Macaca fascicularis: one gene and its partners. The protein of the gene in region 2 interacts with the protein of the main gene of each other region in a pairwise test. Links are inferred from orthologs where the notes say so. Each region holds a gene or a part of one and is shown on either strand. Other genes may lie near its edges.

Region 1 (4,019 bases), on a different chromosome or scaffold from region 2:
GGACTTGGAAGATGTAATTAAATTAAAGATCTTGAGATGATGAGATTATTCTGTTAGGCGCATTGTAATTACAAAGGATCCTTAGGAAGGTAGTAGGGTCAGAGTCAGAGAAAGAGATATGATGATAAAGCAGAATCACAGGGGAAGAGCTGAAGATTCTACCCTGCTGGGTTGAAGATGGAGAAAGGGGCCACAGGCCAAGAATGCAGGTGGTGGCCAGAGGCTGATGAAAACAGAGAAACTGACTTTCCCCTAGAACCTCCAGAAGAAATGCAGCCCTAGTGACATCTTGATTCTAGCCCAGTGAGATTTCTGACCTACAGAATTGTACAATAGTAAATTTATGTTGTTTTAAGGTGGTGATCTGTGGCAAGTTGTTACAACAGCAATAAGAAACTGACATAGGAGATAGAGAAAGCGTGTTGGATTAGGGCAGTCAGTTGAGAATTTTGGATATTATCTTAAAGCCAACAAAGAACCACCAAAGATTTTTTACTAAAAACAGATATAATGAAAATGATGTATTAGGAGGGTAGACTAGAAGTTGGGTTCAGACTGAAGACAGAAAGATAAGCTCTACAGTGGTGTGCATGGATAAGTATGGTGATTAGTACCCAGGTTACAAATGGACTCTGTTAATTGATAAGAAGTTTCCAAATCTGAAAGAGATTGCTAAAGAAGAGCCTACAGAATATAATGACTGATGGGGAATCAGCAAAGGAAAGCAGTCCAATTTCAGATGCCTCATGTGTTGTGAAATGGGCATAAAACACACAAGGGTTCTAAATATTTTAAGTCTCTTCCTGGATTCACCAATGTATATTTCACCAACATATATATGAAATTGTAACTTGCTAAACTTCTCTGTTACATCAAGTTTCACTCTTGTCTTTTTAGAGGATATGCAAACCTCATTTCATCATTTCTACTCTAGAGACTGCTTATTTGGTAGAATGAAATAGGTACAACTCAAATAGTTAGTAAACTACTGTATTCAGATTTTGCACAAAAACAACAAAATACAATCTAAAAACAATTCAGTTGGAGAAGACTCATAGGTTAAGTATGTGTAAAGAGTAGTGGCAGTAGCTGGTAAGTTAAACTACTCACTGGCTATAATGCTGTTCAGCAGTTGCCACTGTTTGGATTATTGGACATTTCCTGAGTAGTGGGAAATGTTTGGATGAAAAGCCAGTAGCTCATTATTAACTCTCTTTACATCACCTCCCTTCTGAAAAAAGCTTTGCTTGCTGATAATCAACTTCTAAATGATCTTCATAAAAGTTAACAATGCTTGGACATCTAAGGCAGGTCTAAACTGGCTGGCTCTACCTTGTTTTTAATGGTAAAAATGCTAAATTAACTAGTACTAATAACCATGCCAGCAGTAAAAACACGGAACAATTGAATATCAATGATATGTTAAAGCCAGCTGTTAATTATCCCATTAAAAAGATGATTTTCTTTCACACAGAGATTCTATCGATACTTTCCCCCCACCTCCTTCCATTTTTCACCATTTCAACTTCCCACCATCCCAATCAGTAACTGGTAAAAAAGATCTGACCATGAGTTAATTATTGGGAAAATCTTAGAAAATACTATATTTCGACCTTTTCCTAAATTGGATACAACTTTGCATTTCCACTATGTTTTTAAGTCCCCTCCTTAAAAATACACATTTATGTACAAATAACAATAGTATATTTTGCATCTTAAAAGTAGACTGCACTGTGATATTGACAGAGAAAATGTTCACCATTCCTTTCTACGTTTCAAAATATCCCTCCTCTTGGATGCTGACATAGAAACATCATTTTGGAACAAGTGGCAGTTTTGCCTTGCATCCCTGTTTTTTCTTGTTCTGCATGGGAAAAAAGTCTGAATAGTAGACAGCAAGAAAATTCAATAATGTCCACTCTGGAACAACCCGAGGGTAGGAATTTTGCGTATGTATCAGGCGCCCTATAAGCATCACCCTCTCATCCCATGCCATAAAAAAGGGTGGAGGGGAGGAAATATTCAGCGAAGTCCTAAAATACAATGTGTATTGTAAAAACAACTTTAATTTTAAAAGTCAATTCTACTTTGTAAGTTTTCAGTGCTGCTTCACTCCTACTCCTAGGGTGAAGGACTTTGGAGAGACACCAAGACTAACTCACATCAAAACCAGAACGCGAAACTCCTGCCTGCTCCGTAGCCTGGAGTGCCCGAAAGTGGAAGGGCACTCTCTCCTATCTGGCCCATGGCTCTGAGGACCTCCCTCCCCGCTCCAAGCCCCAAGCCCGCGAATCGGAGATGCTCAGAGAAAAGCGAGTTGCTCACCAGTGAGGAGCCAGCAGCAGGCGACAGCGACCCCTGGGCGGGCGCGGGGCCGAGGGGCCATGGCCGGAGCGGCCTCAGCGCCAGGGGGCCGCGCTGGTTCGCAGGACAGGACCTGGCAGGACCGGGCGCGGGAGCTGCGCGCTCTGGCCGGGCCACTCAGCCCGCTGCCGCGGTTCCCAGTCCTCTGCCCCAGTGGCAGCGGCGTCCAGGAGCGGGAGAGGAGTGATTTCCTGTGTTTTCGTCGAATGCCTCTAAGTGCGCTCCACGCTTTTCACATCCCAGACGGATTGCCACATCGCCCGCCCCTGCGCGCTCTTGATCTCTGAAATCTCACTGGCAGCTTCCCAGGCTCTGTCCGAGACATGGACAAATAAAGCCAGCTTCGCGGGTCCGTGTTTAGGCTAAAGTCCACGGGCTGTAGAAGCAAACCTTAAAGGGACATCTGCCTTTCATTGAGAGGGTGATCTCGTTCTCCGGGCCAAATCCCCTAAGGTGGTAGGAAGGCGGGTAAGGGCTGGACTTCGGGAGGGTGTCGCCAGCCAAGTGGCTCCGCCTTCACACCCCTGACTTCTCCCGGTCCGGGTAGCGAAGGAGCTTTGGCAGTACCTGGGCGCCCTTAACGGGAGGCAGCTTTCCGAGGTCCATTACGCAGAGGGATTAGGCCGTCTGTGAAAATGAGAGGATCTGGAATCCCCCCTTCCATCTCCTGCGGACACTTGAACTTCACCGTGAAGTCGTTTTGCACGAAAGGGGGCGTCCCTACCACCCCGACAGGCTCCACTGAGGGCTTTGCTTTCGCTTATTGGGAGCCGGGGTGTGGGGAGGCTTTGCTTAGTTTATGGTAATTCGTGGTTAAACGGTGGTTGCAGATAAGCTTTTCTTTGAGATAACTATGATAAAGGAAGAAAAGGAGAAGCAAGACCGAGGAAAAACAGAAAGAGGGAGAGAGAGAAGAGAAGAGAGGAAGAAAAGCAGCCTCTTTTGAAATGGAATGTGTGTGGGCTATTTTGTTTAAGTGAATTAGGATGTTTGTACACTGGTAATTGAATCTAATAAAGAACTCGGGGCACTGCTTTATTTTTTTCTTGCTTGAAACTTTTACGAGTAAAAATTCGTTAAGAGTCCAGACCTGCTTAGGAAGTAGCAATGCTTCCCTTTCCTGGTGAGTTGAACAACCTGGCTGAGTCAAAAGCCATATTCGTGCTAACTTCAACCAATGCTTGCTATTTTCAAAATAGCTGTGTCTTAGCGGTTTGGAGAGTTTCAAAGAACAGAAAAGATGAGTGGATTTGTGTTTAGAGGAATCTGAGGGGAACAGTTCAATTCAATTCACTTCAACTCAACAACTAATTGAGCATCTCTATCTAACAGAACTAGGGCTAGGCAGGACAAGAGTGCCACCCAAAGGAGGGTTCGTTGAGCAGAACACAACACAGGTAGCACAGAACAGGTAACACGAGGGACAGGAAGGAAGAAACCCACAGGGATCACTGGATACACTGCCAGTTAGAGGATCGCAGCAACTAAAAGCTGGAGAAGACAAAAGCTGAAGAAGTTTAAGGAGGGTCAAAAATGGGGTGGGCAGACCCAAGGAAGTTGAAGGCCATCAGATCTCAGTATGTTGACCCATTAGTCAAGAAATTCCTTTTCTATTATGTATCTGAACTGATTCACTATTTAGTGAATACATTAAA
Region 2 (3,500 bases):
CTGAGGTCAGGGCAGCTCATTGGCACAATCTGGCCTCCTTGGCTCCCGAGCTCCTTCCTAGTCCCCACTCACCTGTGATCTCACCCTTCTTGATGGTGAAGGGGATGACAAGGTCAAAGGGCCTCAGGCTGGTCATATCCAGCCCATTGACACCCACCAGGGGCCTCTCTGGGGCCTGCAGTGGAGACACAGGGCATGGGTGAGGGGCCGTGGGAAGATCTGGGGGTCCCTCCTCACACATAATAAAATAGGGCCTCACAGAACACCCAGCTGGCTAGCCCCAGTGTCCCTAGCTGGCTAGGCGTACCCAAGTCTGCTGACCGCCCTGGGCGTAGGTATACTGTGGGGCCAGCTGCTGAGACCGTAGCGGGGGCTGCACCGAGGGCTGGTCCCCAGCCAGAGCCTGCAGGGCAAAGCAGAGAGCTGCTGGAGAGTCTGTTGTCACAGAGGGGCCCCAGGGGAACAGGCCAGGACCTGCCAGACGCCCCTGCTGACCTACCCCCCACCCCTCCTCACCGTCACTTGGAAGGGGCTGTTGGGCACGTGCTCGCCACCAAAGCGCACACAGATAATGTATTTGCCCGGCTGGGGGGCCGTGTAGAAGATGTCAAAAGTGCCGTCCTCATTCTCCACCACGTCCACATCTACCTCTGAGCCATCAGGCGTGCACACGGTGCATGTCACTTTGCCTTTGCCTGCTGCCTTAGTGTCCACGGTGATCACCGTCTCCTCCCCAATCTGGATGGTGGGGCCGATGCCAGCACCTGGTGGGGCAGGGTGGGTCCCCAAAGGGGGGCCAGTGTGTGAGCTTGGGCTCAGGTTGTTCCCATCCGCCTGCTGCCCACACAGGCCTCTCATTGCCACCACCAAGCACAGCCAGGCCTTGCCCCTCAAGCTGGGATGGCGAGTGGTTTCTCAGAAGGCAGGAAGGGTTCTCTTGACCACCTCAAGTGCCCGTGTGGGAGGGGCCCGACGGTAGCACCCAGGTGCCTGGGAGGAAAAGGAAGGGCCCACTCCAGCCTAAGTGTTGACAGCCACTCCCTTGCCTACTCAGCCTCATCCAGCACCACGGCCCACACTGCTGAACGTCAGCATCTGGCTGGGTACACGGCTGCCTGCACCCCTGTGGCCTGGCCCCGGCCCCCATTGCTGTGTGTGGACGCGGTGAGGCAGAGTCCTGCTGCAGCGTGGGGGGACGTGACACTTGCCTCCCCACCCCCCAGGCCTGATGGTGAGACCAGAGTTTCCTGACAACTGAGAAGGCTCGCGGTGAAAAGCAGCCCGGTGCAGGCAGGAGTGGGAACGGGGAAGCGGAAGGCAGTGGGGTTAGCACCCGAGTAGCGCAGTGCAGCAGGCTTGGCACAGCGGGGACAGCACCCAGGGAGACAGGGAACAGGAGGCCCAAGCTACAGCCACCACTGCTGGGTTGCAAGGGCAGAGCAGCTGAGCAGGCTCCAGGGCCCCAGAGTGCCCGAGGAAAGGGGAGAACAGTGACGTTATGATCTGGAGCTCTGCCGTGGAGGCTTGGGGGGCTGTGGGCTGTGAGGCCTGGCAGTGACAGTGTCCCCTGCAGCCTGGCCTCCTGCCAGGGAAGCAGCCAGGAACACGAAACCCACTTGAAGGCCAAGCTCGAGGGGCTCTGCCACCAAGTCCCGCTATCGGCCGAGGGCTCCTGCTGCACTAGGCTCCATGCTGGCCTGCTGCGGCCAGGCAGCTCTCCCGAGCTCCAGACCTGGCTGCCTGCTGCCCACGCTGCCCTGGGAGGCTTCATTCATGCCCACCCCATGACATCTAGTTAGTGTCTTGGACCCCAACCTCACAGGTACCCAACTCTCCCCACTTTCCCTGCCCAGCTCCCGGCTGGCCATCCGCAGGTCTGAGCCACTCCATCCTCAAAGTATGCCTCCTAATTTGGCTCTCACTGAAGCCCCCTGGCCACCAAGCTTGCCGGAGAGCAACTTCAGCACCGCCCCCCTCCCTGTCTCCATTCTGCAAACAATAGCCAGGGAAATGAGGTTACTGAGTCTTGCTCCCACCCCCAAAGCCCCCAAGGCCCTGCAATCAGCACTCCCCAGCCTCCCCAGCCCTGCACACACACGCCTGTCACATCAGATCCTACCTACGGCCTGTTCTATAAAGCCATCTCGCTCCTGCCGCAAAACTCTAGCCACCCTCTAACCCTTTCCTTAGCCACCTTGCCCAAATGCCAGGCCTGTAGCCTCTCATCAGCATTCCCGGGTGTCCCTGGCTGGGGCAGGTGACCCTCCATGCCTGTTGGGTAATGTCTGAATAACGTCACTGCTGGGAGATGGGGGAAGGGGGAAGGAGGGAGACGGGTCACAGAATGCACTTTGGGGCTCTGAGGCTGGGCCGGGCCCCGCCATGCTGGCTGCCCAAGCAGTCGATACTGGCGCTACTGCACTACCAGCCAGCCCCACCCGCTCATGCACCTCCCCCAGCCCGGGACGCAGAGGCCCCTAGAAGGTGGGGATGGGGGTCTGTGGATCTGGCCAGGGCTGGGGCTCCCACTGAGTCAGGGAGACCCCTTGTTCCCTCAGCCCACACAGGAACCCTTGTGCTTCCCTGGGTGCCAAGATCCCGAGACCCCAAAGTCCCCAGTGGGGTGCCTCTCAGGATGCACCTCACCCCAAAGCTCTCAGCTGCAACCCGAGTTCTCAGATGGGGAAATAAAGGCCCAGAGAGGGGGAGAGCCGGAGCGGTCATGCTCAGCTCCGGAAGCCTCCCTGGGCCCTCGCCCTCCAGCCCACAGCCTCATCTTCTGCGCCCCCCCCCCAACTCTGTCCCTGCCTAGAGCTGCAGCTGGAACTGTCCTGGGAATCGGCTCCAAGAGGAAAGGAAGTTGCCCCTCTGGACAAGAGGGGCATTGGGAGTGGCCCCAGCAAGCAGCTTACCTAGCCCGTGACCTCCGATTGACACTGAGGTGAGAAGGCAGAGAGCAAGGAGAAAGGTCAGGTGAGTCACTCAAGGGGGCAGCCCCCACTCCCACACGCCGCCCCAAGCAGCGAGCCCTTGCACACAGGCACAACCCAAGCCCCGTGCCGAGTGCCGCAGCGGCCAACGGCAGGCTGGCTCACCTGTGACTGTGCACTTGCTGGCGTCCCCGGTGGGCACGGCACGCACGCGGTACGGGGAGAAGGGGATCTCGTCACCACCATACTTGATGAGGATGGTGTAGCGACCCGTCACATCTGGCACATAGGCCACTGTATACGTGCCGTCATGGTTGTCTTGGATGTGTGTCTTCTTCGGCTTGCCTTCCGGATCCTGTGTGGCAGAGGCAGGGGAGGCAGCTGGCTCAAGACCAAGTAGCCCCAGGCCTGCCTCAGGCGCTCCTGGAAAGCGCCCAGCGTGGCTGCTACAGGGACAGCCTCTGGGCCTCAGGCCTCTCAACTGCTATGGCCCAAAGGGCTGCCTGCACCTGGCAGAGTCCAGAATGGAGACTAAAACATCCCACACTCCCCACATGACAATAGGCACAG
Region 3 (4,177 bases), on a different chromosome or scaffold from region 2:
GGTTTTTCTGTCTGTCTGTCCTGCAGAGCTTGCCCAGGTGTCCTGCTGGTCCCATTCCCCTTACCCACCACGGGTTCTTTAGATCTTCCTTCCCTGACCCCAGCCCCTGTACTCTGGATTAAGTGGGGGAGGCCATATCTGAAATCTGGGCAGGACAGGGAGTCCCTGGCCTGCTCTGGATAGAGTGGAGGGCCCTAGTTTGGGAGGATGGTCCACCTGGGGTCTGGGGAGCGTTGGGGCTGGAACCTGGGCTGAGATGTCCTGGGGCTGTTGTAATGGGGTTAGGAAGGCTTTGCTGGCAGGCGTGGGGCAGGGGGACAGGGAAAGGGAAGGGAGAGGCCCTCAGATTTTGATCTCCGTCCGGAAGGTCTGCTGGACGTGTTCTGTATGCGGGTGACGCCGTGCCCGGATGGTGAGGCTGCCGTCCTCCCGCAGAGCTGAGGTCACCGACGTTGGGTCCACGTCTTCCGGCAGCTGGCACTTGTGAGCGAAGGTGTTCATGACGGTGCCGTCAGCCGCCAGCTGGGGAAGGGGTGACCCATCAGGCAGGCTGCCCCGGTCCCTGTCCTGCTTGTGACAAGCTACAGCCCTCTTCTCCCTATTCTAACCGCAGCCAGGCCCCACATGCTGAGGGGCTCTGCCCTCAGGTGTGGAGGGGCTGCCCAGGGTGGTGATGGCCACAGGCCGAGGGCTCTGCAGGGACAGCACAGGGGTGCTCCACGGAGCTCCAGTAGTTCTAAGGGACAGGCAAGGGGCATGGGGAAGAGGTGGGGCTTAGAGAGAGAGGCGGCTCCATGGCAGCGGCTCAGCATCTGGGGCTCGTGGGGAACGCAGAGATGACAGAGGAGAGCCGTGCCTTCCTGGATCCCCAGACACATTGGGCATCTGCCCGCCGGAGCTGAGCATGGCCCCTCCCCCACAACTCAGCCAGCACATCGTGTCCAGGGGAGTTAGGGGCGGCTGAGTCACTGTTGGGGGTGGCAGGGCTGGCACGTGCTGCCCACGGGTCCTGGTGCCCCCAGTCCATGGCATCCCTGGCAGGGATGCCCAGGAGTCCACCCTTGAATGTGGAAGGGAGGAAGCCAGCCCCTGGGGGCTTAGGAGGAGGCCTGGGGCAGGTCCTCTCCTCTCTCCTGGCAGCCGTGGCTGTTCCTGGACAACGCCCCTCTTCAGGCCTGGCCATGCCCTCCCCAGGGTGGAGGCCCCAGTGCCTCTTCCAAGTTCGGACTCAGACACCCTAGAGACCCAGTGACCCTGAGACCTGTGGGCAGACGGTGTGTGTGGTTTGGAGTGTGTGTGACCCTAAACTGCAGGGTCCCTGCCCAGCCTTGGGCCTAATTTAGGAGTCCCAAGATGGGGGATGGAGCTCTGGCTATGGGAGGGAAGAGGGCTTGAGGTGTGTCACATGGAGAAACCCCTCCCCCACAGACCAGGTGAGTTCCCCAGCTACCCGCATCCACCCTCTACAGCTACCAGAGGAGCTGTCCTCACTCTGCCATCACCATCTCACGCCCGTCATCTCCCACCTTCAAGCCCCCCCACCTCAGGCTCCCTCTGCCCACATCTCTCCGTCCCTCTCCCATTCCCCAGAGGCTCCCTCAGCTGCCCAGGGCCCTGGAAGAAAGGATCTGGGAACCCTGGTGCAAAGAGAGGCAGTGAGGGGACCCATGGCCGTGGGCTACAGGCACAAGGCCTTCAATTAGCCCTGGGGGTGTTTGGGTGGGGAAGGGACACTGGCCAGGATCTGGAGTCCCAGGATGGGAAGGGGGAGTAGGAGGCATTGGAGCTGGGAGCGAATTTGGTCTGCGGTGGGTGTGGGGGGGGGCTCACCTTCTCAGCCCGCACCTCGATGTGGTTGTTGGAGGTGGTGACAATGATGTCTTCAGGCGAGAAGTCCCTCACATCCACTGCAAACTCATAGGCGTCTCCAAGGGTCTTGATGTTGCCTGGCGCCCCGGGGCGGGCTGTGGGGTGGGCTGCTGTGAGTGAGGCATGGAGCAGGCCTTGTGTGCAGATCCGGGGGTTCCGGCTCCTTCTCTTGGGGCAAGGGGCGGCTCCCCCAGGCTCTACCTCCCCCTGAGCTGTTTCTCCCTAAGCTCCTCCTCATTCCTACAGCCCACCTTTTCTGGGGTGGGGGTGGGACCTCACCCGACACAGTGTGTGTGTATATGAGGCTAGATCTGTAACAACCCCACCCCAGGCCTGGAGCCTGGGGACTGCCTCCCACCCCTCACCCCGTCCGGCCCTCCAGGGCTCCAGCTGGGACTGGCTGCGGTTCCAGAGCATGGGTGGCCATGGAACCATGTCCAACCCCCGGGGCCACGACTGTTCCTTAGAGGCCCACCTGTTTTCATGGCCACATCTGTCCCTGTGGCCACATCTGTCTTGGTGGCCACACATGGCTGCAGGCTGTGCAGCACCTGTTCCAGGCGGACCGGCAGCCACAGCCTGTTCCGTGGCGCCCTGGAGCAGATGTCCCCTCCCTGTGCGCCTCCCCTCCCCTCAGGGCCCGGATCACTTGCCTGGGAAGGCCAGGGGCTCCGAGTGTGGCCGCATGAAGCTGCCAAAGTCATCGGAAAACATGCTCAGGGCCTTCTCCATGGGTGGGTCCTGGGCCGGGAGGGCACGGGAGGCCGAGGAAGAGGTGGAAGAGGAGGAGGAAGAGGAGGAGGAATGGAAACTTCTCTCCGCTCGGAAGGTGGAAGAGGTCCTGTGGCTCATCCACGGGCGGCGCCGGGCCCTGCCCAGGCGGGCAAGGGCTGGACAAGAGAGGGTGTGGGCACAGGCCTCGGGAGAGCGTGCCGGGCCCCGACTGCGGCCGCTTTATAAGGCCGACTGTCCCTGGGCTTGGGGCCAGCCCCTTGTCTACTAGCTAAATTTAGGCCTCTCCATGGCCCAGAGGGGGCTGGAAATCTTCTCCCGTGCGCCGGCCCTGCTGACAGCCCGACACACGCAGGCCGAGAGGGCTGAGCTCACAGCCTGACATTCCAGGCCGGCCACAGCAGCCCCAGGGGCCTCCCCACCACTGCACAGGGCTGGATCCTGTCTCCTTGCCACTTGGACCTCGGTGCCTGCCCCAGAACCTTGCAAGTTTGGGGTTTCTTGTGTGTTTTGTTTCCCCCATCGGCCTGGGGGCTCCTGAGGACTGTGCCTCCCCACGAGACTCTGGTTCTCCTCCATGGCTGTGCCTCCCCCATCAGCGTGCAGGCTCCTTGGGGACGGGGTAGGTGGAAGCACCACTGCTGTGTGACGTCAGGAGTTCCTTCCCTCAAGGCAGACAAGCTTCACAGCCCATCTCTAAGGAAAGGTTGAGCCCTGCCAGGGGGTGTAGAATGTGCAGCTGTCCCCTGCCAGCCCCTACGGGGACCTGGATTCTATACCTGCACTCCCTCTGACTCTCAGAACATGTAGAGGCCCCAAGAGGACAAAGCCGGCAGCTTTCTCCTTAAAGGTCTAGAAGGTCATGTTCCTGACAGCTGTCTGCTCCACCCTGTGTCAGAGGTGATGCCTGCGACTGCCTTAGGTGGGATTTCAGTCAGAGGTAAAAGAGAATTCTGGAAGACAATTATTCTAGCCCTGACTTCTGGAGTGCCTTCTGGGCACAGGCTCCTGGCTGCAAGCTGTCTAAGTGTGGCCCCGTTTGATCCCCGCACAGCTGGGAGGGTGGAGGCGCTCTTCCCATGTTATGGAGGGGGAAGTGAAGCCTCTTGGAAAGGGCGGAGCTCGCACTTGCATAAGTGGCAGGGCTGGGATTCGAACCCAGGTGTGTTGGACCCAAAGCCCTTCAGAGGCTGAGGTGGTTTGAACATACGCCTATGGAGACAGGCTGGCCCGGAAGAGCCAGAGAAGCCCCTCCCTACCCACCTGCTTGCTCAGCAAAGCCAGGACTGACCTTGCGCTGGGCCAGGGTGGAGGCCATTCTGAGAGGCAGCCAGGCCCTCTGCTCTGCCCAGGTTGCAGTTCAGGGCCTCTGCTCTCCTCTCCCGTCCGGCCCTACCGTCCCAGATCAGCTCCAATGCCTCCTCCCACAGGGAGGCCTCTCTGACTGCTCCTGCTCACATGGGCCCACACCCGGTCCAGATGCCCCCAGCACTGACTGTCTTAGTCCTCCCACAGCACCTGGCAGTGTGACATGGTCTTCCTGTGTGCTGTGACTCTCTGCTGTGTCCCTTCTTCC
Region 4 (3,997 bases), on a different chromosome or scaffold from region 2:
TGAATGATGAACAATTTTGTTTACTTCTTACTCATTCCCCTGTTACCTTAAGAATTATATGCGACTCCTCACCAGTCTCAAACTTGTAGTCAACTTCTTCCTCTTCATTATACACCTACCCTATCACAAGGATCAGTCATTATTTTCTCATCCTCTCCTCCCCACTCTCTCCCACCAAAAAGTCTTAGAAGCGGCAGCTTCTAATCAGCCTGAACTTTCTGACATGGTTGGGATCCAGTTCAAGGTTATGCAATATGAAAAGATAAACAAAATAAAGGAAAAATGTGGAGACTGGAGTACCTATTAGGTGATTTTAAACAATGGACACAGCTCCTAAAGAACCCGCTAATTCAGTAAAAAAATTTTTTAAATTAATTTAGTTTCAACCACTCTGTTTTATCATAGAGACAAAAACTGGTTGATTTGCTGATTGTTTTCACTTACTATGTTTTGGCCTAACATAGAAGTCTTGAAACAGAGCTGACTGTACTGATTGTTGGCAGGAAGTAACCTGCATGTGTGGTCTCTTAGCAAATTATATGGGGACTGTTCCTAAATGACAGGGCTCTGTGCTTGAGGAGTCTTCTGCACTCAAGGGTCTTGGCCTGCTTCTTCCTTTCTACTTCCCCTCCAACTTCCCCTACATCTTCCCCTCCCACCTTGTCCACCACAAAGCTTTGTCCCTCAGGCCCTTCATGGAACACCTCCCAGGCAGGTATAAAGCACCCGGTGTCCCAGGTTCCTACAGAGGAAAAAATCCTAGGCAGACCAGTTAGGGGATCCTGGAGTGGAGACGGGAAAAGCAACAGCAAGGTGTGACTGATGAAGTTCTGTTTTAAGGAATAGGAACTGCTGTGGTGTTAAGTTCTGGAAATCCAGAGCATTTCAGAAAACAGCCTGCATTATTTCCTCTCAATAACAGACTACCTAAACTGCACTTGGAAGATCCAGTTTAAGGGGAAAGATAGGTGTGTTTAGAACTTGTCATGGACTGTTCCCCAATGTGCCTTTTCTTCAGATCTCTGGGATAGTTGAAGCAAGTAAATGAAATGTCTTCTCGTTAGTGGGCTCCCTACCCTGAGGAACACCTTGTGAAAAACATTTGAGGACAAGATAGGCGTTGCGAGAAGGAACACTGGAGATTAAAGGATGTGGGCAGTGGTGGTGACATCATTTTCTGGCTAAAGAATCAAAAGACGGCGACAGAACATGTAGAGTGTGAAAGGCTATGAGTATAGAAAGGAGATAGCAATAGACACATGCTAGTGCAGGCAGTGCCTCTAGAAGATAAATGTTTGTATTATTTGACTTAAAAAATAAATATATGCATGTTATCTATTGAAAGCTATAATGTTAAAATAATGATAAGACTCCATCAGTCTGGTATGCTTTTTCTCCCCAGGAAATACATACGGAGGCTGGTGATCAGGCCCCGGGAACTGACAGTCTAATTTGATGCCACTGAAGCAAAGTCCCCAAGGAATTCTGGCGGCTTGGACCAGGAATTCTGCAGGGACACTGACGGCCCCTGGGGCCAGAGCTGACGCCGTGGCCCTCCCCTCCATATTCATACACTCTGTGAAGCTACCTGTCCCCTTGTTAACACATGGAGAGCGAGTCCTTTCTGACTACATCACAGGCAGAAGCAAGGCAGAGGCACAAGAAACTACCGACAGCAGGCGTTTTGGTGTGCACTCCCGTTCATTGGCGTAGGTGACCCGCTGCCCCTTCTAGGGGACACTGAACAGTCCAGTTCTGAGCCGGGGAAAGCCTTGATCCTATAATGTGGTCCCTACTTTCCCCCACGTTCACGCCCAATGCTCCCAGGCTGGAGCTGCTCCGGCGTGTGCCCCTCGTTCGGCCCCGAGCCCTTGGCCCCCAGACCCCGCCACGGCCCCTCCCCCACTGGGGGCGCTTTCCGCCCGCCCTCCTCGGGTTCCCTGGTCCTACCAGCGCCTTGGCCAGGGCTCCCTCGCACAGAGGCAGCTCCAGCCCCTCGGCCGTGGGTCTTCACGAGGCTGGGCTTGTGTCTGATCTCAGGACGGCGCGCGGACCCTGCTCCCTATGCGAAGGTCACGGTCTCGGAGAGGTGCGCATGGCTCACTGCACTCCCTGCGCCCGCCTTCGGGACCGGCCGCAGCAGCCCCCGCAGACCCTCTGGGCAGCCGCGGCGGCCCTGGCCCCGGAGCTCCGCCCCTCTCGTGCTCCCCGCCCGCTTGCCCCCTCGGGGTCCCGGACTGCTGAGCCCAGCTCCCCTTGGAGCCCACTCGCGAGCTGCCCTCTAACCCCCACCCCAGTTAGTCCCCGTTCCCTCACCGTCTCCTTAGCCCGCAGATAGCTTAGCTGACTCTTCAGGGTCGCTGAGGGCGCGTCTTCCGTTCCCCGAGGGCCACACGCCGGCTCGGGTCCCCAGCAGACGGTGAGCCCCGCGCTCAGGTCCTCTCCTGCCCTCTTCCGTGCCGAGCCAGGGGTTCCCGGCTCCCAAATCCTGTTCCTGCTGCCTGCTGTCGGGGAGGTCCTCTTCCCGGACCCCTACTCCTTGGCGATGGAAAGAGACTTAGAGGGCTTACGACGCCACCAACGTTCTCTGTGCCGAGGGTGGCACAATTTTTTTTTTTTTTTTCTGATATAAGGCCAGAGATTCACAATAAAATAAATACAAATCGCGTGCCCAAACTCTTACTTATTGTGCAAGACTCAGGTCAAGCGTTACCTCGGTGCTGACAAACAGCTCCCTGCTTCCACTCTCCTGCGCGAAAGGGCGCGCGATCCTCCCTGGCTGCAGCCAGGCGCCTGTTCTACCCGACTCCACAGCTCGCTGCTTGGAGGCCCCGACCTGGCCTTGCTTATCCTTGTCCCTAGCCCCTGGCAAGGTGCCTGCCACCCATCACAGCACTAGAATATTTTATGAATAAGTGGAAAATTAATTTCTTTTGTAGAAAACCATTTGCGTGTGTGTGTGTGTGTGTTTGGCTTTTTACCCTCAAATAAAGCATACTCCTTTGGGTGGGCAATTTGCTAGTCTCTATAAAGAAACACCAAAAATATCCCCTTTAATGCAGTATTCCATGCTTGGGGAAATTTCCAGAACAAAATAACATTCATGCGGAGATGTTTTTTAGGAGGATCATTTACTACAGAAAAAAAATTTGAAAACCACAAAAAGTAAACAGAGCCAAACTGTCAACAGTAGGAAACTGGTTGAGTAAATTAGGGTGACTTAATGGGATATTATACAACCGTTAAAATGATAAACATCAAGACAGAAGTGCTTCAAATTCTTTTTAGAATAAGGAGGGAGTATGTATTTATTTATAAAGAAAAAAAGGGAAACATGAAGTAACATGATAAAATGTTTGCAAATTATTGTTAAGCAAAAAGCAGAAAATTGGGTCATTTACCCATGTTTAATAACTTCAAATAAAAATGCAGATTTCTTCTCTGCAAATCGGCCATAACATCTACCTCAAGGGGTCCTTGGAGTGTTCAATGAAATAGTCAAGGAAAGTGCCTAGTACAGAATGGATACTCAACAAAGTTTCCATTTCTTTTCTTCAATGGAACACAGACTCAAATCCAGCATGTCAAACACATCCTCATTATGGCCCAATTCTACCCATTTGGCTTCCTTTCCCTCAAATACAGCGTAGGAGAAGGAGCTGAGCAAATGCCAAAGAACCAGGGAAGGAGGAAAATCTAGTTAATAGGAATAAACGTGAAGTCCTCCCTCAGGCCGAAACACCTAGCAATACAAGTTGGTAATGGGGGATGTGGCTCAGTAGTGCTCTACATCAAAATACCTTAGATTTTATTTTAGTTGGCTACAAGCACAACCTTGTGAACACCCAAAGGCTGAATGAGTTCAGTTCAAAACCTGAATGAGGCTGCAATCTTAGGCTGAACTTATCCTCTTCAATGGTCAGGTTACACCTGGGCATAATGTCCAAATCTGGGCACTATCTTTAAGAAAGCATTACTCTGAAGATCTATTATTGCT
Region 5 (3,500 bases), on a different chromosome or scaffold from region 2:
TGCCCAGTTCCTGCTCCTGCTTCTCCCTGTCCTGGCCCGAGGGCTGCCCCACTCCCAAGGCAGACCACAGAGCGCCGCTGGATTCCCGTCCCACACTCGGCTGAGCACTGCGGAGGAGGAGAGCGGCCTGCGTGAGGGGCCTGCTGGTGACTGGCACAAGGGACAGGAGAGGGGGCAGGGAGGGATGCATCCTGGGTCCGAATCCTGGGCGGTAGGGAACGTCCCCAGGTACCAGGCCTGGACGGGGAATCCTAACTGGGCCCCTCATGGAAGTTGTTCTCACTTACCTCTGAGTTCCCAGCGTCAAGCATATAGCAGGCACTTGATCAATACAAGTTTATTGAGCTGTGCTGGAAAGGCTGAGGTGTCCTGGGCATGGTCACCCAGGATGCAGGACATGGCTGGGGGTTCGGGGCTCACCTTGGAGTTCCAGTCGCTGTGGAACCAGGCGGTAGTACAGGGCCCCATGTCACAGGCCTCTCTGCTGGGGGGCTGCGGGGGGCCTGACGCGCACTCCTGCTCACTCACTTCATCACCATTGTTCCCAACACAGCGAACCTGCCGGCTTCTCTGGCCCCGGCCGCACCGCACGGAGCACTGAGGGGGCGAGGGGAATCCAGGGAGCTGGGCTTCTCAGCCAGCCTCCAGCTCTAGGGCTTCAGAACCAGGCTCTGCCTTCGATCCCCAGCCCAGCAGTCACATGGTTTCATGGGCTGAGGAGGAGGCTGAGCCCTAGGGCCCCGGGCCCCCAATCCCTGATTCAGTCCCTTATCTGACTTCTATATTGGGGGTCCATATGAAACCCTGTTTGTAAATAGTTTCTGCTGATGAAAAAGAAGTTGAAAAACCGCTGCTCTTGTTCACCGGTGCCCATCCCCTCCCCGGCACCTTGCCCGGGCGCACTCACCTGGCTCCAAGGAGAGCCAACTTCCCAATGGCCACAGAGGCGCAGCTGGCAAGACTGGGTGATGTTGGGCCGGGGGAGATGTCCACAGCGCTCGGGGGGCACCGAGGAGCCACCCCCCCCAAACTCCTGCCGGCATTGCAGCTGGCGGTGCTGGGTGCCAGGGCCACAGGAGCGGCTGCAGGATGTCCACTCACCAGCCTCCCAGCTGCAGGCACCAGCAGGGCACGGAAGAGATGGAGACACAGATGAGATATGTGGGGCTGCCATGGCAGGGGAGATGGAAGACACATTGGACATGGGGGCCTCAGAGGAGAGTGGGCACGTTTGGCATTTGGAGTCTGGGTTCCTGGGGGGCTCAGCCTGCCATGGCTTTCTTGCTGCCTACCGAATGTCCGCCTTTCTAATCTAATGTTGTCTCTCTGCAGCCAGGAGATGTCGCGTTGAGTGCAGAATTCAGGTAAGATTCTGGGGGCAACTGCTGTGTTTCCAGTACCCTAACCCTCCCCGTGGGCCATACTCACTATGGGGGGCACGGGGCGCCGTGGCAGGGTTCAGGGGAGGCTGGGGGCCTGGCACCCGCGGCACAGCTGCGTTCATCCAGTTCCTCTCCCGACTCACGAGAGATGCAGAGGAAAATGGGGCGCCAGACACCTGAGTGGGTGAGAAGGCAGCCAGGGAGGCAGGAGGCTGGAGCCCAAGCTCAGTGGTGTCCCAGATGCAGGGTCGGGCGTGGCCCCACTATCCCGGATGCAGGATCAGGAGTGTCAGTTGGGGGGCTTGGACTGAGGTGCTGGTCCAAGGTGCAATGTCTCACCTTTCCCACAGGACGCTGAGCATGCGGAGTGTCCCACTCGTTTCCAGTACGCAGCTGGAGACCCCAGGGGTGTCCTGGGATGGGGCGGGGCGGGCATCTGGGGGATCCGCACCTGGCGCTGGAGAGTGCCTGGGGTCCGGGCTGGGCGGGGCACTACAGCGAGTGGGGGCTCCACCCTCAGAATCTCTGTGCAGGGGAGCAGGTGAATCAGATGCCACCCCACTGCCCCAGAGCCACCCCTGCAGCTTCTCCCTCCTCCTTCCAAGTGCAGGGGTCAGAGTCTTACCTGGCTGAAGCTGGGGGACAGCGGGCTCTGAGGTGGGGTTCTCAAGGATTGGAGGAGATGAAGAGATGACATACTGATAAAATACGCCTGGGTTTTCCTCCTGAAAGATCATCTGGGGAGAAGAGAAGATAATGAATGTTTGGGGGTGGCCAGAGGGGGATGCCACCAGCTCTATCTCCCATCTTGACAACCACAGCTCTGCCCTTAGAGAGAACAGCCTCCCTCCCCAGGATCCAGCTGCCCCTGGCCCCAGGCTCACATAGACATCCACAGGCTGGGTGGTGGGGCCTTCAGCCGACAGACTCTCCCCTTTGCCCTCCTCCCTGGGAGGACGGTTATATCGAAAGACGGTCCCGCCGGCCCTGTAGGACCCAGGGGGATCCACAGCCCAGTTCCCATTGATGATGGACCGGCCCCCAGGGCCACGAAGTGCTGCAGGTCAGAGGTGAGAGATTGGGAAATTCCAGGGTGATAATACTTTCCTCCTCCCACACTGTGTCCTCAGCCTATAGAAGCTCCCACCAGAACCTAAGAGCCCCCCAAGCCCTCTCAGCTTCCTCACACCTTCCACAAGGGGAGGGGCCAGACCCTGGACTTCCCCGTTTGGCTTGCTCACTGCACTGAGTGGGGGTATGGAGGGCTGAACAGACATGGAAGTGAAAGGGAGGCAGCTGGGTGCTCACCCAGGTAGTTGGAGCTAGGCCGGAGCTGGGCAATCTGGAGCCGCGAGGCTCCCGCTGGAATCCACAAGATCTTCTGATAGCCCAGGGGGCCCCCTCGGTCAGTGAGGTTCCCCGAAACAAGGCGACAGGTAGAATCATCACCCCCACAGACTCCACAGCCATCAGGACGCCTGCCAGAGCCAAGGATCCCATCACAGCCGGGGCTCTGGAGAGAGTGAGGTGAGGCAGCGGCCACAGAATGCCAGACACCACCTCAACCCCACCCCTGTCCCCTCGGGAGCCTCAGCTCACTACCCTGCTTTTTGTGCTACAAGTGAGAGCACAAAAGCAGCCCCACCGTCCCCAGTCAGACCCAGGGACACGGACAGGTGCCCGATCAGATCCTTCAGGCTCTGCTCAGCCCAGCTTGGCAGGTTAGAATTCTCCCTTGGTTATCTCAGTATAGTGTTTTGTTGTTGAATTAATTAATGAGACTGTAGGCCGGGCCCGGTGGCTCAAGCCTGTAATCCCAGCACTTTGGGAGGCCAAGACGGGCGGATCACGAGGTCAGGAGTTCGAGACCATACTGGCTAACACGGTGAAACCCCGTCTCTACTAAAAAATACAAAAAACTAGCCGGGCGAGGTGGTGGGCGCCTGTAGTCCCGGCTACTCGGGAGGCTGAGGCAGGAGAATGGCGTAAACCCGGGAGGCGGAGCTTGCAGTGAGCTGAGATCCGGCCACTGCACTCCACCCTGGGCGACATAGCGAGACTCCGTCTCAAAAAAAAAAAAAATTAATGAGACTGTGCAAATACGTGTGTGTGCATGTG
Region 6 (3,500 bases), on a different chromosome or scaffold from region 2:
CAGCCTCCCAAGTACCTGGGATTACAGGCATGCACCATCACACCTGGCTAATTTTGTATTTTTAGTAGAGACAGGGTTTCTCCACGTTGGTCAGGCTGGTCTCAAACTCTCGACCTCAGGGGATCCGCCTGCATCGGCCTCCCAAAGTGCTGGGATTACAGGCATGAGCCACCTCACCTGGCCTAAATTAAACTCTTCTTAAGAGGTAGGACCCCCTTGGCTCGTTTCCTCCAGTTATACCTAGGGTAAGGGCAGGGCATTCTCCATGCTCCCCTTTCTCATCCTTAACAAGTCAAAAAAGACCAAGATTCCTGCCCAACTTAAAAAAAAAAATGAAAAAAAAATTTTGCTTTTTGAGACAGAATCTGGCTCTGTCACCCCAGGTTGGAGTGCAGTGGCACAATCTTGGCCCACTGCAACCTCCACCTCCCTGGCCCAGGCAATCCTCCCACCTCAGCCTCCCAAGTAGCTGGGACTACCAGCATGCCACCATACCCAGCTAAATTTTGTAATTTTTTTTCCTAGAGACAGGGTTTGCCATGTGCCCAGGCTGGTCTCAAACTCCTGGGCTCAAGTGATCCATCTGCCTCAGCCTCCCAAAGTGCTGAGATAACAGGCATGAGCTGTGCGCAGCCCCAACTAGAATTTGGGAGGATGGGGTTGCCATGGAGAACCCAGTCTTAATTACAAGGACTAGAGAAATTTCTGCCTCCTCCCTTCCTCAGCTTGTCCAACAGTCAGAACTCTCTTCTCTCTCCTTCTTTCTCTCCCTCTCTCCTCTTGGTGCCTGTTGGACCAGGACTTCCTGACTGAAACTGTAGCAGGTGGGGGGAAGGGTGGCCAAAAGGGCAACATTAGATTCAAACCCAAAGCCTAAAAATAACCCCACCAACTTCTTCAGGAGGCTCTCCTGGCCATCCCACCATGTACACCCCAATGCTCCACCCAGTGTAACCGGACCCAGGCAGAGAAGAGGGCTTTTGGCTTCCTAAAGTTAGATATGAGCAGCTCAGCACTTTTACTCTGCTCCTGTATGAGGACCAATGACAGACACTTCTGCCCCCGGCCCCATGCAGGCATCTAATTCCACTCTCCCCCAGACACTTAGAGAAAGTGGAGAAGGAAGAAAGGAAATGGAGAAGGCCCCTCTTCCTCAGCTATACCATCCTGTGCCTGGCCTCTCTCCAGTCTCCTCTTTCTTTGGAGAAGGAGCCTGACTAGAATATATCTTGAAGGACAGTTTCAGTCTCACCTGGGGCTCCTTAGGGAATAGACTGACCCTTTAAATGAAAGAATGGCTTAAATGGGAGATGGCTGTAGAAACTCAATTAACTCTTTCTAGGGTTGCCAGATTTAGCAAATAATATAGAGGATACCAATTAAATTTGAATTTCAGATGCACAACAAATATATATATTTTTTTGAGACAGAGTCTCTGTCACCCAGGCTGGAGTGCAGTGGCATGAACATGGCTCATGTTCATGCAGCCTCTACCTCCCAGGCTCAAGCCATCCTCCCACCTCAGCCTCCAGAGTAGCTGGATTACAGGTGTGTGCCACCACACCCAGCTAACTTTTTAATTTTTTAATTTTTTGTAGAGACAGAGTCTTGCCATGTTGCCCACGCTGGTCTCCAACTCCTGGACTCAAGCAGTCCTCCTGCCTTGGCATCCCAAAGTGCTGGGATTACAGGTGTGAGGTATCACACTTGACCCAAATACTTTTTTAGTATAGATATGCCCCAAATGTTGCATGGGATTTACTTATACTAAAAAATTATTCATTTGCATCTGAAATTCAAATTTAAGTGGACATCCTGTATTTTTATTTTAATGTCCCAAATATTGCATGGGACATATTTAAAAAAGAATTCATTGTGCATTTGAAACTCAAATTTAATTGGGTATTCTGTATTTTAAAATTTCAATTTAATTATTTGCCTTATCTTCTTTTTTTTTTCTTTCTTTTTTTTTTTTTTTTTTTGAGACAGAGTTTCACTCTTGTTGCCCAGGCTGGAGTGCAATGGCACAATCTGGGCTCACTGCAACTCCACCTCCTGGGTTCAAGTGATTCTCCTACCTCAGCCTCCTGAGTAGCTGGGATCACAGGCACCCACGACCATGCCCAGCTAATTTTTTGTATTTTTAGTAGAGATGGGGTTTCACCATGTTGGCCAGGCTGGTCTCAAAAGACCTCAGGTGATCCACCTGCCTTGGCCTCCCAAAGTGCTGGGATTACAGGTGTGAGAGCCACCATGCCCGGCTGCCTTATGTTCTTTCTAAAATATTTTTAAAACTTTATCTTTATGTCCCAAATATTGCATGGAGCATATTTTACTAAAAAATTATTCACTGTGTATCTCAACTTCAAAATACAAGACAAGACTGCCCCACTGGGCATCCTGTGTTTTATCTGGCAACCTATCTTTAACACTTACCCTTACTAGGAAGGAATTTTCTCCCTAAGGGTGTGGTATTCTCCAATCCTTCAGTGGCTCTTTGATGGAAACTGGGTTTCAGAGGTGGGCTGTAACTCACCCTGGAGCTGCTGAGGGCTCAATATATCTGGGAGTTTAACAAATTTATAAATTTCCAGGGAGGGGATGTTGACTGCATTTTGGAGGCTCAGGGCCTACTAACAAGCTGTCAGAACAGGCACCAGGCTTTGAGACGGTGATAAAGTTTCAGACTTACCATTGAGCTGTCAGAGAAAACATCAGGGTGGTTCTCATAAATAAACTTCTCCACCCTCATCTGCCGCAGTTTGAACATCTTGGAGCCCCGGTTGGTAAGCAGCGACAGTTCCTCCAACATCACATCCCTTGGGACACTGATCTTTTTGCCCAGGTTCAAGCCTGAGCCCTCCTGTCCACCTTTCAGGGAGGCAAAGAAGAATCAAGGGAAAGAGGAAAGTAGGGTTTTCTGGGCTCAGAATGCAGACCTCATCCACAACTAAGTGTGAATGTGTGTCCTGGCAGAGATCATTTAGGGGAACAAATGCTGTCTAGTTTGTGAGGGACTTTGATTTCCTGGGACTTGGAGAGAATGCATGGGAACTGGGGTGCATTGTGGAGATAATGGGAATACTAGAGTGGAGAGGCCAATGGGGTAAAAGAGGCATGGGCATGGGGTACAGAGCAAAAGGAGTAAAGGAACATCATAGATGGAGGCCATTGGAGAAAGCATGGCATCAGGAAAAGCCCAGAGGCCAATCTTATGTGGAGTGTAAATACAGATGCCATACATATACATATTTTTTATTTATTATTATTATTTTTTATTGTTTTGAGACAGAGTCTTGCTCTGTCACCCAGGCTAGAGTGCAATAGCGTGATCTCAGCTCACTGCAGCCTCCGTCTCCCAGGTTCAAGCAATTCTCCTGCCTCAACCTCTTGGGTCGCTGGGATTGCAGGCCCGCACCACCATCCCTGGCTAATTTTTATATTTTTTGGTAGAGACGGGGTTTCACCATGTTGGCCAGGCTGCTCTCAAACTCCTGAGC
Region 7 (3,500 bases), on a different chromosome or scaffold from region 2:
GCTGGGACCACAGGTGCTCACCACCATGCCAGGCTAATTTTATTTTTTTGTAGAGACAAGGTTTTGTCATGTTGCCCAGGCTAGTATCAAACTCCTTGCCTCAAGAAGTTCTCCTGCCTCAGCCTCCCAAAGTGCTGGGATTACAGGTACAGGTCACTGTGCCTGGCCTACTATTCCTTTAACATCCAGTTTGCGTGTCCCTTCCTTCCATCCCCTGCGCCCTCACAAGACAGTTATGATTTGGCTCCTGCTTCTGTAGATCCTCACTTCCAAACTTTTGTCTCTTCATTTTTGATCCACTCCTGAGCAAAGGTTTATTCTTCTTTCTTCTACGTAATGTCCTTACTTTGTATAGGCTCATTATTCTTATTATCCTCTTTATTTTTTATATACATATATATAGTCTATATCTCTGTCTCTACTAGCAGGTTGTGAATTTTTTGAAAGCAAGAACTATATTTACCCATTTGGGGATCTGTAGCACCTGGCATAGTAATTGCTACATAGTAGATATTCTCAGTAAATGTTTGTGAAATGAGTGAATGGGTAACAGAGAAGTGGTCTACAGATATCTACTTTACTTCCAATTTCTGCTTATTCTATACTCTGTTTAATAGTGATTCTTACCCACTCGGATCATATATCTAATTGAAGAAAGTGGCAAACTCCCACTCCATAAAAATGCAAATAAATTTGGTACAGGAGGGGTTAATGAAATCTTTGAGCCAAAATACACACTTGATTATGAAGCCCTAATGGTAAGTAACTGCATCCTACTTTGCAAGTTTTGTAACTGCCCAATCTTGAAGAAACCATAACATCAAGACAAATCTGTACCTGAATTTCATCGCACTTGATTAGTTTTTCCACCTCTCCTTGACTCAGAAGAATGAACTCTTCATGCTGTACCACTTCAGGAAAATGTTTCTGGCTAAAAACCTCAGCTGCTTGCATCAGGTCAACACAATTGTGGGTTTCTGCAAAATCCCTAATGCCCAGGCAATTAGAAGGGTCCAACTGACTTTCTAAGAACTCACAGCAGGCTTGTTTCACACCTAGGACGGACACAGGAAGCAAACACTTTAGAACAGTTGGACGGGTGTGATCTAGTCTATATTCTTGTATCTCAACATCTTCTCTACATGTTATCAGATGAACCCTTGTTTCAACACCTAAGAAACAGATGAGAAATTCTTTGCTTAAGGAACTTAAAACCCTATTTCTGGCTTATGTACTGCGCCACTTTCAGCAAGACCTTTACACCTGTCTCTGTTTAATCTTTAAAGTGAATATTGCAAGATGAATCACATCCAGGGACCTGGCAAAATTCAACAAAAATGCCTACAAAACTCTTGGGAATCAAACTATAAAACTAATTACTAATTCAGCATAATGTACCCATTTTTCTACTCTACATGAAAACTTACTAAAAGACTAGAGTGAAAGAAAAGCAGAAGATAATAACAAATCTCATATTCATCTAATTGAAAAGTTCAGGGTATTTTAATTTTATGACTATGCACTAATGCAAAAGCTTCACACTGTTTAAACCATGTATTAAAAACTAAAAATGTATCAATTATGTATATATAAAAACCAAAAACATAACTGAATTTTAAAAAGAAAAAACTGAGGACCAGGAATGGTGGCTCATGCCTATAATCCCAGCACTCTGGGAAGCAAGGTGGGAGGATCACTAGAGTCCACAAACTTGAGACCAGCCTGAGCGACACAGAGAGAACCCGTCTCCACAAAAAAAAATTTTTTTTTTTTTTTTGAGACGGAGTCTCGCTCTGTCACCCAGGCTGGAGTGCAGTGGCCGGATCTCAGCTCACTGCAAGCTCCACCTCCCGGGTTTACGCCATTCTCCTGCCTCAGCCTCCCGAGTAGCTGGGACTACAGGCGCCCGCCACCTCGCCCGGCTAGTTTTTTGTGTTTTTTAGTAGAGATGGGGTTTCACCGTGTTAACCAGGATGGTCTCGATCTCCTGACCTCGTGATTCGCCCGTCTCGGCCTCCCAAAGTGCTGGGATTACAGGTTTGAGCCACCGCACCCGGCCAAAAAAATTTTTTTTTAAATTAGCTGGGTGTGGTGGCATGTGCCTGTGGTCCCAGTTACTCAGGATGCTGAGGTGGGAGAATTGCTTGAGCCCAAGAATTCAAGGATACAGTGAGCTGTGATTGTACCACTGTGCTCTAATCTAGGTGACAGAGTGAGACTCTTGTCTCAAAAACAAAATAAGAAGTCTAAAAAACCTGGGAACTGTAAGGGAAAACAAACCACCTGTAATCCTGTGAAAACATACTTTAATATTTTGTGCATCAATTTAAATTTCATTTATCTTAATGAAATACTACCACTTAATGGCCAGATAAAGAGTATCCATGTAGATTATGTATAGTATCAGTTTTTATTATAGTTCCTTATAGGTGTGTTATATACATGTATGTAAGAAAACACATAATTTCTCCTTCCTACATTTTTTTTTTTAAAACAGAAAAGGTGCAAATGCTCTCTTTTATAGTGCCAAATACTCATATCTGGAGAAGTTCCTTTATAGTGCTATTGACATCTGATCTCTTATTGCTCAATGAGACAAAAGCCATGGCTAGTAAACATAAGCATCCATAGTTTGTCTCCAAAATGTTCATGATTAAGTTTACACTATTAATTTTCAATCTTTCCAGGGCTATTTCAACATAAATAATACCAAGTTTTAATGTCTGTACCTTTCAACTGAAGCAGACAGGCTGCAGGAAGCAGTTCTTGTACATTCTCCACTGTCACATGTACTGTTTCTGTGTACACAAAGTCCAATAAAATTTCCATGGTAGAGGCAGTCAAACCTTGGATGTCAACATAAGGTTTCCCCTTCTCTGAAAGCTGAAAATTTGAAAGGTAAAAAAGAATGATGGTTATAATTCTACAAGATAAAGGCAGAATCTCATACCTAAGAGCTTAGAGATGTTAGTAACATTAATTGAACATATATCTTTAAAAATTATAGGCCAGGCATGGTGGCTCACGCCTGTTATCCCAGCACTTTGAGAGGCCAAGGCAGGCAGATCACCTGAGGTCAGGAATTCAAGTTCAGCCTGGCCAACATGGTGAAACCCCATCTCCACTAGAAATACAAAACTTAGTCGGGCATGGTGGCACATGCCTGTAGTCCCAGCTACTCAGGAGGCTGAGGCAGGAGAACTGCTTCAACCCAGGAGGCAGAGGTTGCAGTGAGCCAAGATCATGCCACTGCACTCCAGCCTGGGCACCAGAGTGAGACTCTTTCAAAAAAATAAAAAAGTAAGAAAATAAAAAAACAAAAGTATGCTCTATTTTGTTGGATTTTAATAAAGCAAATATGGGCCGGGCGCGGTGGCTCAAGCCTGTAATCCCAGCACTTTGGGAGGCCCAGACGGGCGGATCACGAGGTCAGGAGATCGAGACCATCCTGGCTAACACGGTGAAACCCCGTCTCTACTAAAAAATACAAAAAACTAGCC

Evidence for each region.
Region 1: the proteins of FLNA (region 2) and PELO interact in binary tests that used the Homo sapiens proteins (3 or more experiments, as listed by UniProt). The link is inferred for Macaca fascicularis from reciprocal best matches to the Homo sapiens genes FLNA and PELO.
Region 3: the proteins of FLNA (region 2) and HSPB7 interact in binary tests that used the Homo sapiens proteins (3 or more experiments, as listed by UniProt). The two-hybrid records come from large-scale screens. The link is inferred for Macaca fascicularis from reciprocal best matches to the Homo sapiens genes FLNA and HSPB7.
Region 4: the proteins of FLNA (region 2) and CASR interact in a two-hybrid assay, tested with the Homo sapiens proteins (2 studies listed by BioGRID). The link is inferred for Macaca fascicularis from reciprocal best matches to the Homo sapiens genes FLNA and CASR.
Region 5: the proteins of FLNA (region 2) and ADAMTSL4 interact in binary tests that used the Homo sapiens proteins (3 or more experiments, as listed by UniProt). The link is inferred for Macaca fascicularis from reciprocal best matches to the Homo sapiens genes FLNA and ADAMTSL4.
Region 6: the proteins of FLNA (region 2) and MYOZ1 interact in binary tests that used the Homo sapiens proteins (3 or more experiments, as listed by UniProt). The link is inferred for Macaca fascicularis from reciprocal best matches to the Homo sapiens genes FLNA and MYOZ1.
Region 7: the proteins of FLNA (region 2) and KLHL12 interact in binary tests that used the Homo sapiens proteins (3 or more experiments, as listed by UniProt). The two-hybrid records come from large-scale screens. The link is inferred for Macaca fascicularis from reciprocal best matches to the Homo sapiens genes FLNA and KLHL12.

The regions. Positions count from the first base shown.
Region 1 is NC_088380.1:58,200,105-58,204,123, reverse strand, and holds the start of PELO (protein pelota homolog), read right to left. Parts: upstream 2,801-4,019; 5' UTR 2,387-2,800; coding exon of another isoform or gene 2,326-2,386; intron 1-2,325. Other genes in the region: ITGA1 (integrin alpha-1), read right to left, coding at 2,326-2,386. UniProt on the Homo sapiens protein: Component of the Pelota-HBS1L complex, a complex that recognizes stalled ribosomes and triggers the No-Go Decay (NGD) pathway.
Region 2 is NC_088395.1:160,375,905-160,379,404, reverse strand, and holds part of FLNA (filamin-A), read right to left. Parts: intron 3,286-3,500; coding exon 3,096-3,285; intron 2,937-3,095; coding exon 2,913-2,936; intron 765-2,912; coding exon 517-764; intron 404-516; coding exon 308-403; intron 176-307; coding exon 73-175; intron 1-72. UniProt on the Homo sapiens protein: Promotes orthogonal branching of actin filaments and links actin filaments to membrane glycoproteins. Anchors various transmembrane proteins to the actin cytoskeleton and serves as a scaffold for a wide range of cytoplasmic signaling proteins.
Region 3 is NC_088375.1:219,086,677-219,090,853, reverse strand, and holds the start of HSPB7 (heat shock protein beta-7), read right to left. Parts: upstream 2,801-4,177; 5' UTR 2,722-2,800; coding exon 2,523-2,721; intron 1,980-2,522; coding exon 1,831-1,979; intron 523-1,830; coding exon 343-522; 3' UTR 1-342.
Region 4 is NC_088376.1:161,062,895-161,066,891, forward strand, and holds the start of CASR (extracellular calcium-sensing receptor), read right to left. Parts: upstream 2,801-3,997; 5' UTR 2,317-2,800; intron 2,160-2,316; exon of another isoform or gene 1,951-2,159; intron 1-1,950. UniProt on the Homo sapiens protein: G-protein-coupled receptor that senses changes in the extracellular concentration of calcium ions and plays a key role in maintaining calcium homeostasis.
Region 5 is NC_088375.1:110,694,268-110,697,767, forward strand, and holds part of ADAMTSL4 (ADAMTS-like protein 4), read right to left. Parts: intron 2,896-3,500; coding exon 2,691-2,895; intron 2,440-2,690; coding exon 2,267-2,439; intron 2,120-2,266; coding exon 2,008-2,119; intron 1,908-2,007; coding exon 1,722-1,907; intron 1,559-1,721; coding exon 1,429-1,558; intron 1,113-1,428; coding exon 908-1,112; intron 598-907; coding exon 421-597; intron 108-420; coding exon 1-107. UniProt on the Homo sapiens protein: Positive regulation of apoptosis. May facilitate FBN1 microfibril biogenesis.
Region 6 is NC_088383.1:72,731,765-72,735,264, reverse strand, and holds part of MYOZ1 (myozenin-1), read right to left. Parts: intron 2,872-3,500; coding exon 2,693-2,871; intron 1-2,692. UniProt on the Homo sapiens protein: Myozenins may serve as intracellular binding proteins involved in linking Z-disk proteins such as alpha-actinin, gamma-filamin, TCAP/telethonin, LDB3/ZASP and localizing calcineurin signaling to the sarcomere.
Region 7 is NC_088375.1:60,671,869-60,675,368, forward strand, and holds part of KLHL12 (kelch-like protein 12), read right to left. Parts: intron 2,884-3,500; coding exon 2,730-2,883; intron 1,056-2,729; coding exon 838-1,055; intron 1-837. UniProt on the Homo sapiens protein: Substrate-specific adapter of a BCR (BTB-CUL3-RBX1) E3 ubiquitin ligase complex that acts as a negative regulator of Wnt signaling pathway and ER-Golgi transport.